Elephas maximus indicus: one gene and its partner. The protein of the gene in region 1 purifies or fractionates together with the protein of each later gene. This does not show direct contact. Links are inferred from orthologs where the notes say so. Each region holds a gene or a part of one and is shown in the gene's direction. Other genes may lie near its edges.

The links. The genes of interacting proteins can lie anywhere in the genome.
Region 2: the proteins of CDK7 (region 1) and ERCC2 purify together in Homo sapiens (affinity purification with mass spectrometry; 10 studies listed by BioGRID and IntAct, counting the BioPlex papers as one, with this or other methods). This does not show direct contact. The link is inferred for Elephas maximus indicus from reciprocal best matches to the Homo sapiens genes CDK7 and ERCC2.

The regions. Positions count from the first base shown.
Region 1 is NC_064820.1:74,677,238-74,685,526, forward strand, and holds the start of CDK7 (cyclin-dependent kinase 7), read left to right. Parts: upstream 1-5,199; 5' UTR 5,200-5,310; coding exon 5,311-5,376; intron 5,377-5,695; coding exon 5,696-5,755; intron 5,756-8,289. Other genes in the region: MRPS36 (alpha-ketoglutarate dehydrogenase component 4), read left to right, coding at 12-29. UniProt on the Homo sapiens protein: Serine/threonine kinase involved in cell cycle control and in RNA polymerase II-mediated RNA transcription. Cyclin-dependent kinases (CDKs) are activated by the binding to a cyclin and mediate the progression through the cell cycle.
Region 2 is NC_064829.1:104,342,037-104,349,871, forward strand, and holds the start of ERCC2 (general transcription and DNA repair factor IIH helicase subunit XPD), read left to right. Parts: upstream 1-4,579; 5' UTR 4,580-4,658; coding exon 4,659-4,663; intron 4,664-4,809; exon of another isoform or gene 4,810-4,871; intron 4,872-4,961; coding exon 4,962-5,061; intron 5,062-6,575; coding exon 6,576-6,653; intron 6,654-6,730; coding exon 6,731-6,793; intron 6,794-7,835. UniProt on the Homo sapiens protein: ATP-dependent 5'-3' DNA helicase. Component of the general transcription and DNA repair factor IIH (TFIIH) core complex, not absolutely essential for minimal transcription in vitro.

The DNA.
Region 1 (8,289 bases):
TTCCTTTTCAGCGTGGAGGTCCAGAATAATCACTGACAATGTGGCTGCTGTTTGTCATCAGACAAAAAAATTATCTTTACAATAAAGGACTTCCAAAATGAGAAATTGTACATTAAACAACTTTAATGAAATATTCTGTAAAAATATCAAAGATAGAAAATTTAGATGGACACTTATATCTCCTAATTTATGTATCTATGTATTGGGGTCAGCTTCTCCACAAGCTTACCTAATTGTTTATATACTTTATACTTATGAAAGTATACATTTTTAAATGTTAGCCTATTAATTTACTCTTCATTATTAAGTATTACCAGTGTTGAACTATTAAAAGCACACGATGTCTAGTAAACTTTCAGAGGTTTCCTATAATTACACATTTTTTCTGGTTTCTATTTAGAGAGAATTTATCAGGCAAAATTGCTGCTTTAGGGAAGTGATTTTCCTGAGATTGGATGAGGATCAGTGAAATACTACTCCATTATTTGTTTTTGATCCTGTAACATTTTTCATTCACAGAGTTACTGGAATATAGCTAGCTTAGTAAGTGTATCCTACTGTAAAGGGTAAGAACATAGCCAAGGTAAAACAGGTGACTTTTTGGTACTGAGATTGGAGATAACACAAAAGATTGTTTGTAACCTATACTCAGAAAAAATGTCAAAGAGTACAAAATGGAAAATAAATCGAGGCCAAAATGACCACAGCATAGGAATAAACGTTTGACTAGAAATTGTAATTTATTAAGTTTTGAGGGCTGTTAAAAAGTCTTGTTCTTTGGTTTATTTTATTGTTTTCATGTGATCACGTGTGCAAATCCTGATAACCAGTAACTTTCTCAAACGTTTCTGAAAGCCTCATAAAATCAACTTAATACTTATCTTATTTAAGGTAATTTGTGAAAATTTAATAAGGTTTTCCTGCCCCAAGGGTATGTATTGTGAAAGTAAAGCCTCACAAAGCCAAATGAATTCTCTTACATACCTTTGGTGATTTTTAGAATATGCCTTAAAGAAGTCAATAGTAAGGGTAGCTCATGAGCAATAGACAAAGTAGAATTGTTGTTGAATACATTTCTATATTCTGTGAGTTAATCTATACTTTCCTGTATCCTGCCAGTGTTGAACTGCTGCTGGTGTAAATTCTGTATTGTGGCCCACTGTAAGTGTTGCCCAACTCAAATATCAGATAAGGGTTTGATGCTTGCAGTATGTTGATAACATAAGTTGTAATGGTAACTCATGAAAAATATATGGTTCGTAATTCCTTTTTATTATTTAAAAAATGTTTTTGGAAAAGCATTTTTTTTTTCTAACTAGCATTATTCTTTTTTCCCCTGTCAAAATAAATAACTCAGACCGCCATTAACAGATTGCTGTGCAGGTTTAATAGACAACTTTAAAGTTGGGCAACATGTCATTACTCAGTACATCAGTGCTCCAGTTAAGTAAAAGATTTTCAGGGTACTTATATATAATTTCATCAGGAATTTTGAAGAAAAATTGTTACCAGCTGAGATTATATCAGAATACGTAGATCTTATAAGAGAGCAGTATGTGCTCAAACATTGTCAAAGCTTAGATAGAAACCGTACTAAGACAATCACAGATCAGTGAGCCATGGCTTTAAGACCTCTGGAGTCTTGGAAACAGGACTTGTCCATTAATCTTTAATTGTTTTCTGAAAGAATCAAATTTCAAGTGGTTCAGTGAGCCTGATCACCTAAATACAATTATGTGAAACTCAACAAGCTGCTTCTAAAAGTTAGTTACAGTTCAAGGCATAACTATAAGCTTTAAGATATATATATAAATATATATAATTACACAACACATAGGTTTCTAACATTTAGTAAGATAACCTTTAGTGTCATGGACAAGAGACCTCTGTTTTCATAAAGCAAAACTTACAATTTTATTTTATACCCCTTAGTTTTTTTATTTCAGTGAAAGGAAGCCCAGGACCATTTTTTTTTTGTTTTTTTTTGGAATCTATTATTGATCCTGTAGACAGAAACTGATGGAGTGAACTTAAAACAACAATAATCACTTTGACTTGGTTACCTAGTGCTGCTGTGACACAAATACCACAGATAGGTGGTTTTAAAGAACAGAATTTTATTTTCTCACAGTTTTGGAGACTAAAAGTCCAAATCAGGATCTCAGCTGTGTCAGTTCCTTCTCTGAGCCCTTCAGTTTCTGGTGTGTACCAGCAATCCTTGGCATTCCTTGGTGTTCCTTGGTGTCTGTCTTCTGAGTGTGTGTGTGTGTCTTATCTATTCTGGTCTTTTTATAACTCAAAGTGATTAGGTATAGGATTCAGCCTATATTGGCATGACATTAACATAACAAAAGAAAACCCCCTATTTTCAAACAGGGTCTTATCTACAGGTACAGTGGTTAGGATTTCAACACATATTTGGTGGGGGGAGGGGGACACAATTCAATCCCTAGCACACTTCTGACACAGAGAAACACAGGAGCAGTTTGGCTGGACAGTTCTTAGTGTCTTGTGAGGCTGCAATCAGATGCCACCTGGGGCTGCAGTCATATGAAGGCTTGGCTGGGGCTAGATGATAAATGCCCAAGGTGGCTCAGTCATATGGCTAGCAAGTTGGTGCTGGTCATTAGCAGGAAGCTTCAGTTCTTTCCATGTAGGCCTCTCCACAGGACTGAGTGAATTCATATGGTGGCTGACTTCCTCCACAGCATGCAAGGTAGAAGTAGCAATGCCTTTTATGACCCATCCTCAGAAGTCACACAAAGTCACTTCTGCCATACTTCACTGGTCACACAGTCTGTTTTGCTGCGGGAGAAGACTACACAAGTGCATTAATACCAGAAGGCAAAGATCACCGGAGGCCATCTTGGAAGCTGGCTACTACAGATACGTGAAAGCACTTTGTAAAATGCAAAATGATATACAAATGCTGAACAGTATTTTATACATATGACCACATTACCCCAGAATATCATCTAAAATGTCCCCAAATAGGAATTTACTTAGTAGCATGGTTATAATGCTGCAGTTATGAACTCCTATACCACAGTACGCTTGGGAGCCTCACAGGTGCACCATCAAATTTAGCTCATTATTTAGCTTATTTCTGCTTCAAGTTTAGGTAGATTACTGTTACAGTGATGTCTGTCAGAAGGAACTTTGACCTAGTCATGTGACACCATGCATCACGAGGTATTACTTGCCACAAGTAAAAGAGTTAGCAGTGTTAAAGTTGGTATGTCTTCTGTAATACAAGAAATTATGCCTGAGTGCATCAGCTCAATAAAAACCCAAGTAGTGACAAAGGGCTTAAAGGTGACCAATGACAGGAATGGTCAATATAAACTGAGCACTCAGCTGTCAGACACTAAGGGCTTTTATAAGTATGAACACACTATAAGCCAGTCCTATTACAGAGAAGAAACTAGGCACAGAAAAGTTTAGTAATTTCCCCAAGTCAAACATCTAGTGATTGAATACTGGTGAGGACAGTATTAAATTGCAAACAGTCTGGTTTCAAAGTAAGAACTCAGCCTCTACACTATACTACCTCGACTACAAAATTACCCTTGGTAATTCTGCTGCCTTCTTCAACACATCTCTGAAGATAGCATTCTTAACTCCTAGAAACATCAAATGCAAAGACAAGGGGGTAAACCTTTCCATCTTTATAGCAGCTCAAGCTCAAAACCTTAAAATCGCCCCCCTCCAATATCCAGTGTATCTATAAATCTTATCTGCTAAAAACCAAACCAGCCATCTGGATTACTGTAATAACTCTTTAAGAGACCTTTTTTAAATTACTACTTTATTTTTTTATTCTTGAAAGTATACACAGCAATACACCAATTCAACAATTTCTACATCTACAATTCAGTGACAATGATTACATTCTTCAAGTTGTGCAACCATTCTCACTCTCCTTTTCTGAATTGTTCCTCCCCCATTGACATGAAGTCACTGCTCCCTAAACTTCCTATTTAACCTCTGGAGTTGCTGTTGTCAATTTGATCCCATATAGTTTTTTTAAAAGAGCACAATGCTGAAGGCAGACATTCTTTCTGAGTAAGCTAACCTGTTGTTTGGTTTGAAGAAGACTTCAGGGGATTATAATTTAGGTTTAAAGGTTATCTTAGGACAATAGTTTCAAGGCTTCACCCAGGCTCAGTGGCCCAGAAGTCTGGATTCCATGAGAATCTGAAATTCTCTAACAGACCTTGCTCCTCTAAATCTAGTCTCTCACAACAACCAAAGTAAACCTTTTAAAAGAAGTCGGATCATATCTTTTATCTACTCAAAATCCTCCAATGGCTTTTCATGATGTTTTTCCTCAACCACCCTATTTAAAATAACACTCCCTTATTATCTCCATAGCACTTATCACTAAGTATCTTAACATATTTTGCTTATTACCTGTTTCTCCCACTGGAATGCTGATTTTTGTTTTGTTCCTTGCTGATTTCTCAAAGTCTACACCAGTGCCTGGCACATAGTAAGCACTCAATTACATATTATTTCAATGAGTTAATATGTTAACTTTATTTTGTTGATTTGTATGAAAATTGATAGGGATCTAGAAGTTGGGTATTTATCACAGATAACACACAGAGCACTTACGTGTCTAAACTTTCTAAGTGTTTCATCTAATCCTCACCATCCTATGATGTAGTCTATTATGATTTCCAGTTTAAAGGGTAGAGAATTGAGGATCACAGCACGTTTCAACTGAGTTGAATTTTTAGACCTGCTTTATAAATGAACTGGACTAAGAATGCCTCTAGACCAGTCCCTAAGAAAGTGACACCTGGTTAAGTAACCTGTGATCGCGGAGCTTGGCGTCCATAGCAACCGTGGCGAGGCCATACACGATCATGAACTAGCTACAAAGGGAGATCAAGGAAAAGGACAAGCCTCCCACACTCACACACACCTACCAAATTCCGAACTGAGAACACCAAATCCGAACGCCGACCTGTCTCCAGTAGCTAAGAAAAGACCCAAATTAAGAACTGTAAAAGGGTGACGCAAACAGCCACCATCAGATACACTCCTTTCGCGGAACCCGGAGTAGACTACGTCGCAAGGCGGGGGCGGTACAGCCCAGCCAATCAGCCGGGTCTCATGCAGCTTCCGGAGGGCGGACCCCGCTGGTATCCACTTAGCAGTACCCCGCCCATCCCGGAAGTGGGGCGGGGCTACTACAGTGTGGGAGTCCAGTGAACGGAAGAGGCTGTGGGAGCCTCTGAGGTAGCTTTAAATTCGCTTGGTTTTTGGAGCCTTACGTTTTCGGAGTCAGGCTTCACGCGCCGAATGGCTTTGGACGTGAAGTCGCGAGCAAAGCGTTATGAGAAACTGGACTTTCTCGGAGAGGGACAGGTGAGGGTCTCGTGCTGGGATTGGGAGGGCCCGGAGCGGAGAGCACAGTGCCGCCTCAGACCCTCGCGGATTTTCGCGTGGGACCAGCGGACTGGCCTGGCTGCTTGTTCTCCTTGGTGGAGGCGGCCCAGCCGCGCGTGCTACCCTTCTCTTTACACCCTAGAGGTGACCCCTGAGCAGCCCCCTCCCTTCCGAAGAACAGACGTGGAGTATCCCACCACATTTCTAGCGGCCCTGTGCTTCCCAAAATGTAAAAAAGTAAAAAGGCAATTACAAGAAAACTCCATAAACTCATATGTTATTTCTGTTTTCTGTCTAGTTCGCCACAGTTTACAAGGCCAGAGACAAGAACACCAATCAAATTGTCGCCATTAAAAAAGTGAGTTACACTTTGGGTCATTTCTCTCAAGTCTCTTTGAAAATGTATTATGAGCTGATAGATGACCGTTTTAGTACTCTTGATCTCTGCTAATAAGTTATGTCATTTTCAGAGACGATAGAATTGGGATATTGTTTTCTAAGATAGAACTCTGGGATTGAACCAGTTTGTTGTTCCATTAAATGAAACTGAAGTGAAGAAGAAACTGTACATTATTTTTGCTACATAAACTTTGTTGTTATATAAAGGACAAGTACTGCCCATCTGTTCCGTCTATTTTCTGCTGACAGAGTTACCATGAAAGGCTTTCACTAGCATTAGCAATAATGTGTGTTGCATTATATTTAAATTATTTATATAGCTTTTTTGCTTAACTCACATTGATTTAAGAAACTTAAGCCATATTCAGCATACATTCTGTGACTCAACAGTATAGCCACTCCTTTGTAAAACATCTAAACTCTCCTGATCTTTTCAAACTTCATCTTTTCGATTCTACCCCTGGTTCACTATATTCCACCACACTGACCTTTCTGTCCCTTTAACACATTAAATTCATTCCCCTCCCAGAACGTAGCATGACTGATTCCTTCTTATTTTGGAGTCTCACTCAAATGTCTCCTCCACATAGAGGCCTTCCCTGTCCACTATAGCTAAAACCGGTGTGTCCCTCTCCTTCACAGTCATTCTTTGGCATATTTCCTTGTGTCATCTTCATACCATTTATCAAATTCTAAAATTCTCTTATTTGTGAGTTTATTGTGTTTTCTTCCCCTTACATTATGCGTAGAGCTGTGACTGGCACATTTGTAAAAAACAAAACAAAATATATTGACCAGACTGACTAGTTGTTCTTGATAGGTGCAATCGAGAATAGAGTCAGTTCTAATAGTGACCCTGTAGGACACAGCAGAACCGCCCCCTAGGGTTTCCAGGGAGTGGCTGGTGGATTTGAACTGCCGACCTTTTGGTTAGCAGCTGAGCTCTTGACCACTGCACCACCAGGGCTCTGACTAGCTAGTATGATGTATTCATATTGTTGGCATATTGAGCTATATAGTTGTCTGAAAGTCCTAGTAGCTTGGCGTTTTTTGTTTGCTTGCTTTTAACATAAATTAGGACTTAGAATCTGTTTTTCAGTAATAGACTTTTCTCCTTTGAAGGTGACTTGTAGAATCTTCTTTTATGTTTAACCTTTATTTCAAATAATATATGCCTATAGTTTTAAAAGTCAGTTAATAGAACAGGATTTTAACCTGCCTGACTCCTCTTTACCCAGGTTTTCATTCCTCAGAGCACACACTTTAGACTCACCTGTTTCTTCTGGTGTTACCACCATATCTTTAAGCAATATGTTTATGTATTATTATTTCTTGAACTTTTTTTTTCCCCTTTCAATTTTAGACATTATCTATGCTTCCCACTATGAACATTGAGGATCTAGTGCTTGTGGACCTTCCCCTCCTGTGAGGCAAAGAACTCAGTTTGGCCTTTGTCTTTGGTTCCTGAGAGATAACCCTTGGAATCTCCTGAGTAATCAAGATGATTTTATTATCTAAAACCTCCAGACAACAGTTGAGGATTTGTACAAATGAGTCAAGGGGCTGGCCAGGCCACAAGGACCACCTGGTCAGCTAACCTCAGGGAGGGAGGGAGGGTGGTATGATTTAATCAATTACGCATATTCAGTGAGACCCCAATCATGACTATGCAATGAAGCCAGTAAAGGCCGTGGACATAAAAGTTCCAAGAGCGTCCTGGTTGATGAAAGACATTGATACATGTGGGAGGGTGGCATGTGTTTTGGAACATGGAAGCTTCATGTTGGTAACCCACCCTAGCCTTGCCCTGGGCATCTCTTCTTTATGCTGATCCTGATTTCTGTCTATTTTTGATAACAAATCTGTAATTGTGAGGATAGTAATTTCTGTGAGTTGTTCCAGCAAATTTTCAAACCCAAAGGAGTAATGGGAGCCAGCAGGTGAAAGTGAGGGAGACCAGGAGAGGCCCCTGAGCTTGCGGCTGGCTCCCTGAAGGGGTAGTGGGGAAACCCCTACTTTGTGCCCAGCAAGTCAGAAGTAAGGGTGTGGTGCAGACCCCCAGGCTTTCATCTGGTGTGTGCTTATTTGGCAGCCTAAAGGACAGTGTCCTTTTAAGTTGTGAAATCTATCTAGCTCCAGGTGGCTGGGGTTAGAGAAAGAAGTGCCATATGGGTGGCTGGAATCAGAACTGAACAAGGAAAGTGGGAATTTGTTATATCTTCATAGTTAGTAACAGAATAGTGGTTTTCTGAGATTTCCACAGGACAGTTGCAGTTGGGATGTGAACACTGATTTATCCTTACACCTCTCAACACCCATATATTTCAGTTTCACCCATATACAAATATAGTTTATAGCAATTTTTGGCTAACAATACAAAAATGTGTAATTTAGAAGTCAATTCTCTCCTATGCAACTTTGAGGAAACCCTGGTGGTGTAGTGGTTAGGAACTATGGCTGCAAACCAAAAGGTCAGCAGTTTGAATCCACCAG
Region 2 (7,835 bases), on another chromosome or scaffold:
TAGCTTGGCAGCTTTTTAATGATGTAATCACCTCCATAATGAGATTTGACGTAATATGATCACCTCCATGATGAGATCTGTTGTGCGCAGCCAATCAGTTGAAAGGGATTTTTCTTGGGGGTGTGGCCTGTATCCAATATAGGAGGACTTTCGGGCAAGGCTCACTGGTTTTTGCAAACTATGGATCATGCAGCTGGTTCCTGTTTGTCTGACCTTTGGTTCTTGGGACTTGAGCTAGCAGTTTACCTGCTGTCTTACCTGCCAGTCTTGGGATTTGTCAGCCTCCACAGCCTGTGAGCCAGAGGCCTCCTATCTGATCTTCTGATCTTGGATTTGCCAGCCCCCTGTGACTACGTGAGTCAGGAGAAGCCTCCGTCTTAACCCATGAACTTGAGACTTTCTACCCTGTACAGCCACATGAACAATTTCCATTATATAAATCTCTCTATATATTTATATGCTGCATTGGTTTTGCTTCTCTAGAGAGCCTAGCCTAAGACAACTCCATCACTGATGGGAATGTAAAACGGTGCAGCTCCTGTGAAAAACAGTTTGGCTGTTGTTCTTGTTAGGTGCTGCCGAGTCAGTTCCAACCCATAGCGACCCCATGCACAACAGAACGAAACACTGCCCGGTCCTGCACCATCTTTACAATCATTATGCTTGGGTCCATTGTTGCAGCCACTGTGTCAATCCACCTCGTTGAGGGTCTTCCTCTTTTCCACTGACCTTGTACTTTGCCAAGCATGATGTCCTTCTCCAGGGATTGATCCCTCCTGACAACATGTCCAAAGTGTGTAAGATGCAGTCTCGCCATCCTTGCTTCTAAGGAGCATTCTGGTTGTACTTCTTCCAAGACAGATTTGTTCATTCTTTTGGGAGTCCATGGTATATTCAATATTCCTCACCAACACCACAATTCAAAGGCATCAATTCTTCTTCGGTCTTCCTTATTCATTGTCCAGCTTTCACACGCATACGATGTGATTGAAAATACCATGGCTTGGGTCAGGTGCACCTTAATCTTCAAGGTGACATCTTTGCTCTTCAACACTTTTGAGAGGTCCTTTGCAGCAGATTTGCCCAATGCAATGCATCTTTCGATTTCTCAACTGCTGCTTCCATGGCAGTTGATTGTGGATCCAAGTAAAACGAAATCCTTGACAACTTCAATCTTTTCTCTGCTTATCATGATGTTGCTCATTGGTCCAGTTGGGAGGCTTTTTGTTTTCTTTATGTTGAGGTGTAATCCATACTGAAGTCTGTGGTCTTTGATCTTCATTAGTAAGTGCTTCAAGTACTCTTCACTTTCAGCAAGCAAGGTTGTGTCATCTGCATAACGCAGGTTGTTAATGAGTCTTCCTCCAATCCTGATGCCCCATTCTTCATATGGTCCAGCTTCTCGTATTATTTGCTCAGCATACAGATTGAATAGGTATGGTGAAAGAATACAACCCTGACATACACTTTTCCTAACTTTAGACCAGTCAGTATCCCCTTGTTCTGTCTGAACAACTGCCTCTTGATCTGTGTAAAGGTTCCTCATGAGCACAATTAAGTGTTCTGGAATTTCCATTCTTCGCATTCTTTGGCAGTTCCTTAAAAAACTGAACATAGAACTACCGTATGACCTGGTAATCTCAATCCTAGCTATATTCCAGAAGAAGCAAAGGCAGGAACACACAGAAACCTGTACATCAATGTTCATTGCAGCACTTTTCACAATAGCCAAAAGGTGGAAACAACCAAAATATCCATCAATACATGAATGGAGAAACAAAATGTGGTACATACACACAGTGGAATACCACCCAGCCGTGAATAGAAATGAAGTCCTGATGCACGCCACAACATGGATGAACCTTGAAAACATGCTGAGTGAAATTAGTCAATCATGAAAGGGCAAATATTTGTATGATCTCACTTATATGAGCTCTCTAGAATAGGCAACTATAGAGACCAAAGTTTATTAGTGGTTCCGAGGGACAGGAGAGAGGGGGAAAGAGGGAGTCATTGCTTAGGGAGCATTGAGTTTCTGTGATGGTGATGGAAAATTTGACAATGGATACTGGTGATGGCTGCACAACACAATTAATGTAACTGGCGTCACTAAACTGTACACAGATAAAACATTGAACTGGCAAATGTTGTGTTACATGTATTTTTTACAATTAAGAAAAAAAAAAGTCCCTGCTTTTGTAGAGCTGACATTCCAGTCAGGGAAGGAAATAGACAAAAAAAAAAAAAAAGCAAAATAGCTGTTATATCAGATGGTGATCACTGTTACGGAAAGAAACTAAAGCAGGAGGGGTTACCATAAACTTGGTGGTGTAAAACATCACACATTTATCCTCTTACCTTTCTGGAGGCCAGAAGTCCAAAATCAATCTCACTGGGCCGAGATCAAGATGGCAATAGAGCTGAGCTACTTCCAGGGTCTCTAGGGGAGAATCTGTTTCCTTGCCCTTTCTAGCCTCCAGGATTTCATTCCTTACATTCCTTGGCTTGTGATGCCTTCTTCCATCTTCAGAGCCGTCTGGGTAGCATCTTGCTTCAGTGGTCACATTGCCTTCTGTCTCTTTCCTGCTGGGGAATCTCTTAGAAGAGCTCTTGTGATTATGTTGAGGGCCCCCCTGGATAATCCAGGATCATCTCCCCATCTTAACATTCTGAACTTCATCACATCTGCAAAGTCCTTTTTCTATTTTTGAGAACATGTAGTTTATTGGGATGAGACATTGGTGATGCAGTGGTAGAATTCTCACCTTCCATGCAGGAAACCCGATTCGATTCAATGCCCTGCCAATGTACCTCATGTGCAGCCACCACAGTGGAGGCTGTCACTGAGGCTTGTATGGTGCTATGATGCTAAGCAGGTTTCAGCAGAACTTCCAGACTAAGATGGGCTACGAAGAAAGGCCTGGCAATCTACTTCCAAATATCAGCCAATGACTCCTTTGCCCTGAGACCAGAAGAACTGAATGCTACCCAGTTATCATTAGTGAACATTTTGATCAAAGATTCTGTAGAAGAATTCTGATCAAAAGAGGGGAAATGCAGGACAGAATTTCAAATTGTCATGGAATCCGGACTTCCTGGATCCATGGAGGCTGGATGAAGCCCTGAAACTATTGCCTTGAGATAAACTTTAAACCTTAAAACAAAAATAACCTGTCACCTTCTTCAAGACAGACAATAGGTTAACTAGTAAAGAATGTCTGCTCTGAGCATTGTGCACTTTTAATATCTATCTATATGGGATCAAATTGACAACAGCAACTTGGAAGATTAGATGCAGAAACTTAGGAGGCAATGAGCTTGTGTTACTGGGGGAGAAATAATTCAGAAAAGGAGCTTGAGAATGGCTGCACAACTTGGAGAATGTTATCAATGTCACTGAATTGTACCTGTAGAAATTGTTGAATTTGTATATGCTCTGCTGTGTATATTCTCAACAACAACAACAAAAATAGAATAAATTCTATGGATATAAAAATCAGTCAGTGAAAACCTTGTGAATCACAACAGTTTCATCTACCACTGATTATGGGGGTGATGCAGGACCAGGCAGCGTTTAGTTCCTTCGTGGACGGGGTTGCCAATGTTGGGGGCCAACTCAACGGCAGCTAATAACAACAGTTTATTTGGAAGGTGACTGCTTTTAGAGGGAGTGGAAAAGTGAGACCAGAAGAAAGCTTCTGAAAAGGTATTTTAGACAACTGGGGCTCAGTCCCACTGGGGAGTGCTAAGAGAAAGTGTAGACCTTCACAACTCACAGTGTAGTCTGAAGACCAGATCACTGACACCTCCTGGGAGTGGATAAGAAATGCGGAATCTCAGGCCCACTCCCGCCTCAACAATCCGAATCGGCATTTTAACGAGGTCTCCCGGTAATTCATAACCCCATAACCCGTTGCCATCGAGTAAGTCCCGCTTCATAGTAACCCTAATGGACATAGCAGAACTGTCCCATAGGGTTTCCAAGGCTGCGATCTTTAAGATTGCCACATCTTCCTCCTGCGGAGTGGCTGGTGGGTTGCAACCATTAACAGCTGAGCGTTTAAACACTACATCACCAGGGGTCCTCTAAAGGCTTGTACCAAACCACAAAAAAACCCACCAAACCCACTGCCATCAAGTTGATTCCAACTCATAGCGACAGTATCTGGCAAATAGTAGGTGCTCAATAAATGGATAGTTATTTATTCCACAGGAGTCTAGGACACAGCAGGAACTTTATAAATGTATGCTCGTCTGATGCAGTTAAGCCATTCCTAACATGTGGGCCACCAAGGAGTCTCCAATTTCCCTGTTATTTTCTTCTAGTCTCTATTCTCTGCTGTGACACTTTGGCAGATGCTGGAAAACGAATGTTTTGGGTGAGATCGATTCTCTCGGCTCTCCTCCTTCCATGTTTTGTTCTTTGTCCTCGGTGATCCTCAGCGACGCCTTGGGCACCGCCTATCTCTCCGGAGCCCGCCTGCTCAGGCCTTGCGCATGCGCGCAGTATTCCCACTGGCTCCGCCCCAGTAGCGTCACGGGCGGGATCAGCCAGTGGGATCGTGAGGAAGGTGGGGCGGACGTCCCACGGACCCGGTCTCTCGCTGAATATTCATGAGGGAGGCGGATCGACGCCGCTGCACGCCTTGGCCGGCGCCATGAAGTGAGAGTGGGGCCGGGGACCGCGGCTGGAGAACGGCCGCAGGGGGCTGAAAGATGGGGGGGAGCGTGTGGGGTCCCCAGCAGGGCGAGGGGTGGCTGAAGAGATGGGATGGGGTAACCGCGGGGCCGGCGGGGTGGTAACGGGGATGGTCAGCGGGGAGACCCGGAGGCTCCTTGGGAACTGGCGGGATACCCGGGGGGACCGGCAGGTAACTGCCCTTGGCTCGACGGCCGGAGAGCGCGGGGGCTTGGAGGGGGCCTGAGGGGGAGGACACTGACCCAGCAGCCCCCACCAATAGGCTCAACGTGGACGGCCTGCTGGTCTATTTCCCCTACGACTACATCTACCCGGAGCAGTTCTCCTACATGCTGGAGCTCAAACGCACTCTGGATGCCAAAGTGAGTAGGCCGGGCGGCCGCTGCCTGCTTAACAGGTGGGGCCGTCACGCGTGGGTCTGCGACTGAGGTTGGAGGACGTCTAGATAGCCAAGACCCCAGGATTTTAGAAACCTGAGGTCCTTGGGAATCTAGGACTCCAAAGCCACCTGCCATCTGAAATAATAATAGTTAATAATACCCGTTGCCGTTGATTTCGACTCATAGGGACCCTATAGGACAGAGTAGAACTGCTCCGTGGGGTTTTCAAGAAGCTGGTGGTGGATTATAACTGTCAACCTTTTGGTTAGCAGCCGAGCTCTTAACCACTGTGCCACCAGGACTTCCAGTTAATAATAGTAGCTAAAAAAAAAAAAAAAAAAGTTTTTTTTTTTTTTTAATATTTATTAGGTCAAGCATAGCAACGATTCTGAGAATGGCATAGGATCAGGTAGTTTTCGTTCTGTTGTACATAGGGTCGCTATGAGTCAGAACTCCATAGCACTTAGCAGCAACATTTATTAAAGGCCAGACATCCCGGTGCGTAGAGATCCATAGACACTGGAGCTGGCTCCCTGGATTGAAACCCCGGATTCACAGTCTACCAGCTGTGTGACCTTGGGCAAGTTATTAACCTCCCTGTTCTGGTGCCCCTGTAAAAGGGACATAGTAATAGTACAGTACTTGAAGTCCCTGGGTGGTGCAAATAGGTGACTTGCTCAGCTGTCTAACTGAAAAATTGGAGGTTCAAGTGCACCCAGAGGCACCCTGGGAGAAAGGCCTGGTGACCTACTTCCAAAAAGTCAGCCATTGAAAACCCTGTGAAGCACAGTGCTACCGGGATACACACAGGGTCGGCATGAGTCAGAGTCTACTTGAGGACAACTGCTTTTAATAATGCCTACCTCATAGGTTGTCGTGAGGGTGAAATGGATTAATACAGTAAGGCAGGGGTGGATTTTGACCCCCGGAGAACAATTGGCAATGTCTAGAGATATTCTTCCTCGCCATACTAGTTGTGGGGTGGGGCGCTATTGTTTCTAGTGGGTAGAAGCCAGGGACGCTGCCAAACATTCCACAGTGCAAGGACAGCTGCCCCACAGCTAAGTATTATCCGGCCCCAGATGTCAGTAGAGCAGGATATGAGGCATCTACAGCAGTGCCAGGCACCAAGGAAGTGCTGTGGAAGTGTTTGCTAAGCTGCAGGAAAAAATGGGCTCACTATATATCAGATACCATGGTAAATCATTAGCTTACAATTTGTCGTTAATCTTCACAATCATGATATGAGGAAGACCTTTATGGACCCATTTTAGAGATGAGGATACTGAGGTCCAGAGAGGTGAAGGCACTTGCCTGAAACCACTCAGTAAAGAGGTGGCAGAAGTAGGATTCAACCCCTCTCCCCTCCCGGGTCCAAACTATTAACTACTGTGCTGATGGCAGTCTTCTTGGAGGGAGGGGGGCAGCATCCCTAGAGATTGTGCCCCCAAGGTTCTGAGAGCCTGTATCTTGTCCCTCCTACCCCCAACGCATAGGGTCATGGAGTCCTGGAGATGCCCTCGGGCACTGGGAAGACAGTGTCTCTGTTGGCTCTGATCATGGCGTACCAGCGGGTAAGTGACCCACTGGGCCCATGGAGAGGGTATCGGGTAGAGGCTGGGTGGGGGCTGAGCCTGCTTGTCATTGGCAGGCATATCCGCTGGAGGTGACCAAACTCATCTACTGCTCGAGGACTGTGCCCGAGATTGAGAAGGTGAGCCGGGGTGTCTTAGTTTCCTCGTGCTGCCATAACAGAAATACCACAATTGGGCGGCTTTAAAGAACAGCTATTTATTTTCTCACAGTTCTGGAGGCGAAAAGCCCAGGTCAGGGTCTTGGCCATGTCGATTCCTTCTGCGAAGGTCTCTTACAGTTCTGGTGTATGCTAGCGATTCTTGATGTTCCTTTACTTGTAGGTGATTCTCACACGTCATCTATCTTCCCCTGTGTGTGTGTGAGTTGCTGTGTCTATTCTGGTCTTTTTATAACTCAGGGGTGATTAGGTTTAGGCTCTATCTTGCACTGATATGACCTCAATTGATTGATTAATTACATTAGATTAGATAAGATTATGGAAGTTCATTTCATTAAATTAGGAATCCCTGGGTTGTGCAAATGATTAACACGCTTGGCTGCTAACCAAAAGGTTAGAGGTTCAAGTCCGCCCAGAGGCGCCTCAGAAGAAAGGCCTGGTGACCTGCATCTGAAAAATCAGCCATTGAAAACCTTGTGGAGCAGAGTTGCACTCGGATACACATGGGGGTGCCATGAGTCAGAATCAGCTGGACAGCAACTGATGCTGACCTTAATTACATTACATATATTTTTAACGCGTTAAAAGGCAAAGATGGCACTTTAAGGAGTAAAGTGCACCTGACCCAAGCCATGGTATTTTCAGTTGCCTCATATGCATGCGAAAACTGGGCAATGAATAAAGAAGACCAAAGAAGAATTGATGCGTTTGAATTATGGTGTTGGCGAAGAATGTCGGCCATACCACGGACCGCCAGAAGAACAAACGAATCTGTCTTGGAAGAACTACAGCCAGAGTGCTCCTTAGAAGCAAGGATGGCGAGACTTTGTCTCACTTACTTTGGACATGTTATCAGGAGGGACCAGACCCTGGAGAAGGACATGCTTGGGAAAGTAGAGGGTCATTGAAAAAGAAGAAGACCTTCGATGAGGTGGATTAACACAGTGGCTGCAACCGTGAGCTCAAATGTAGCAATGGCTGTGAGGACGGTACAGGACCAGGC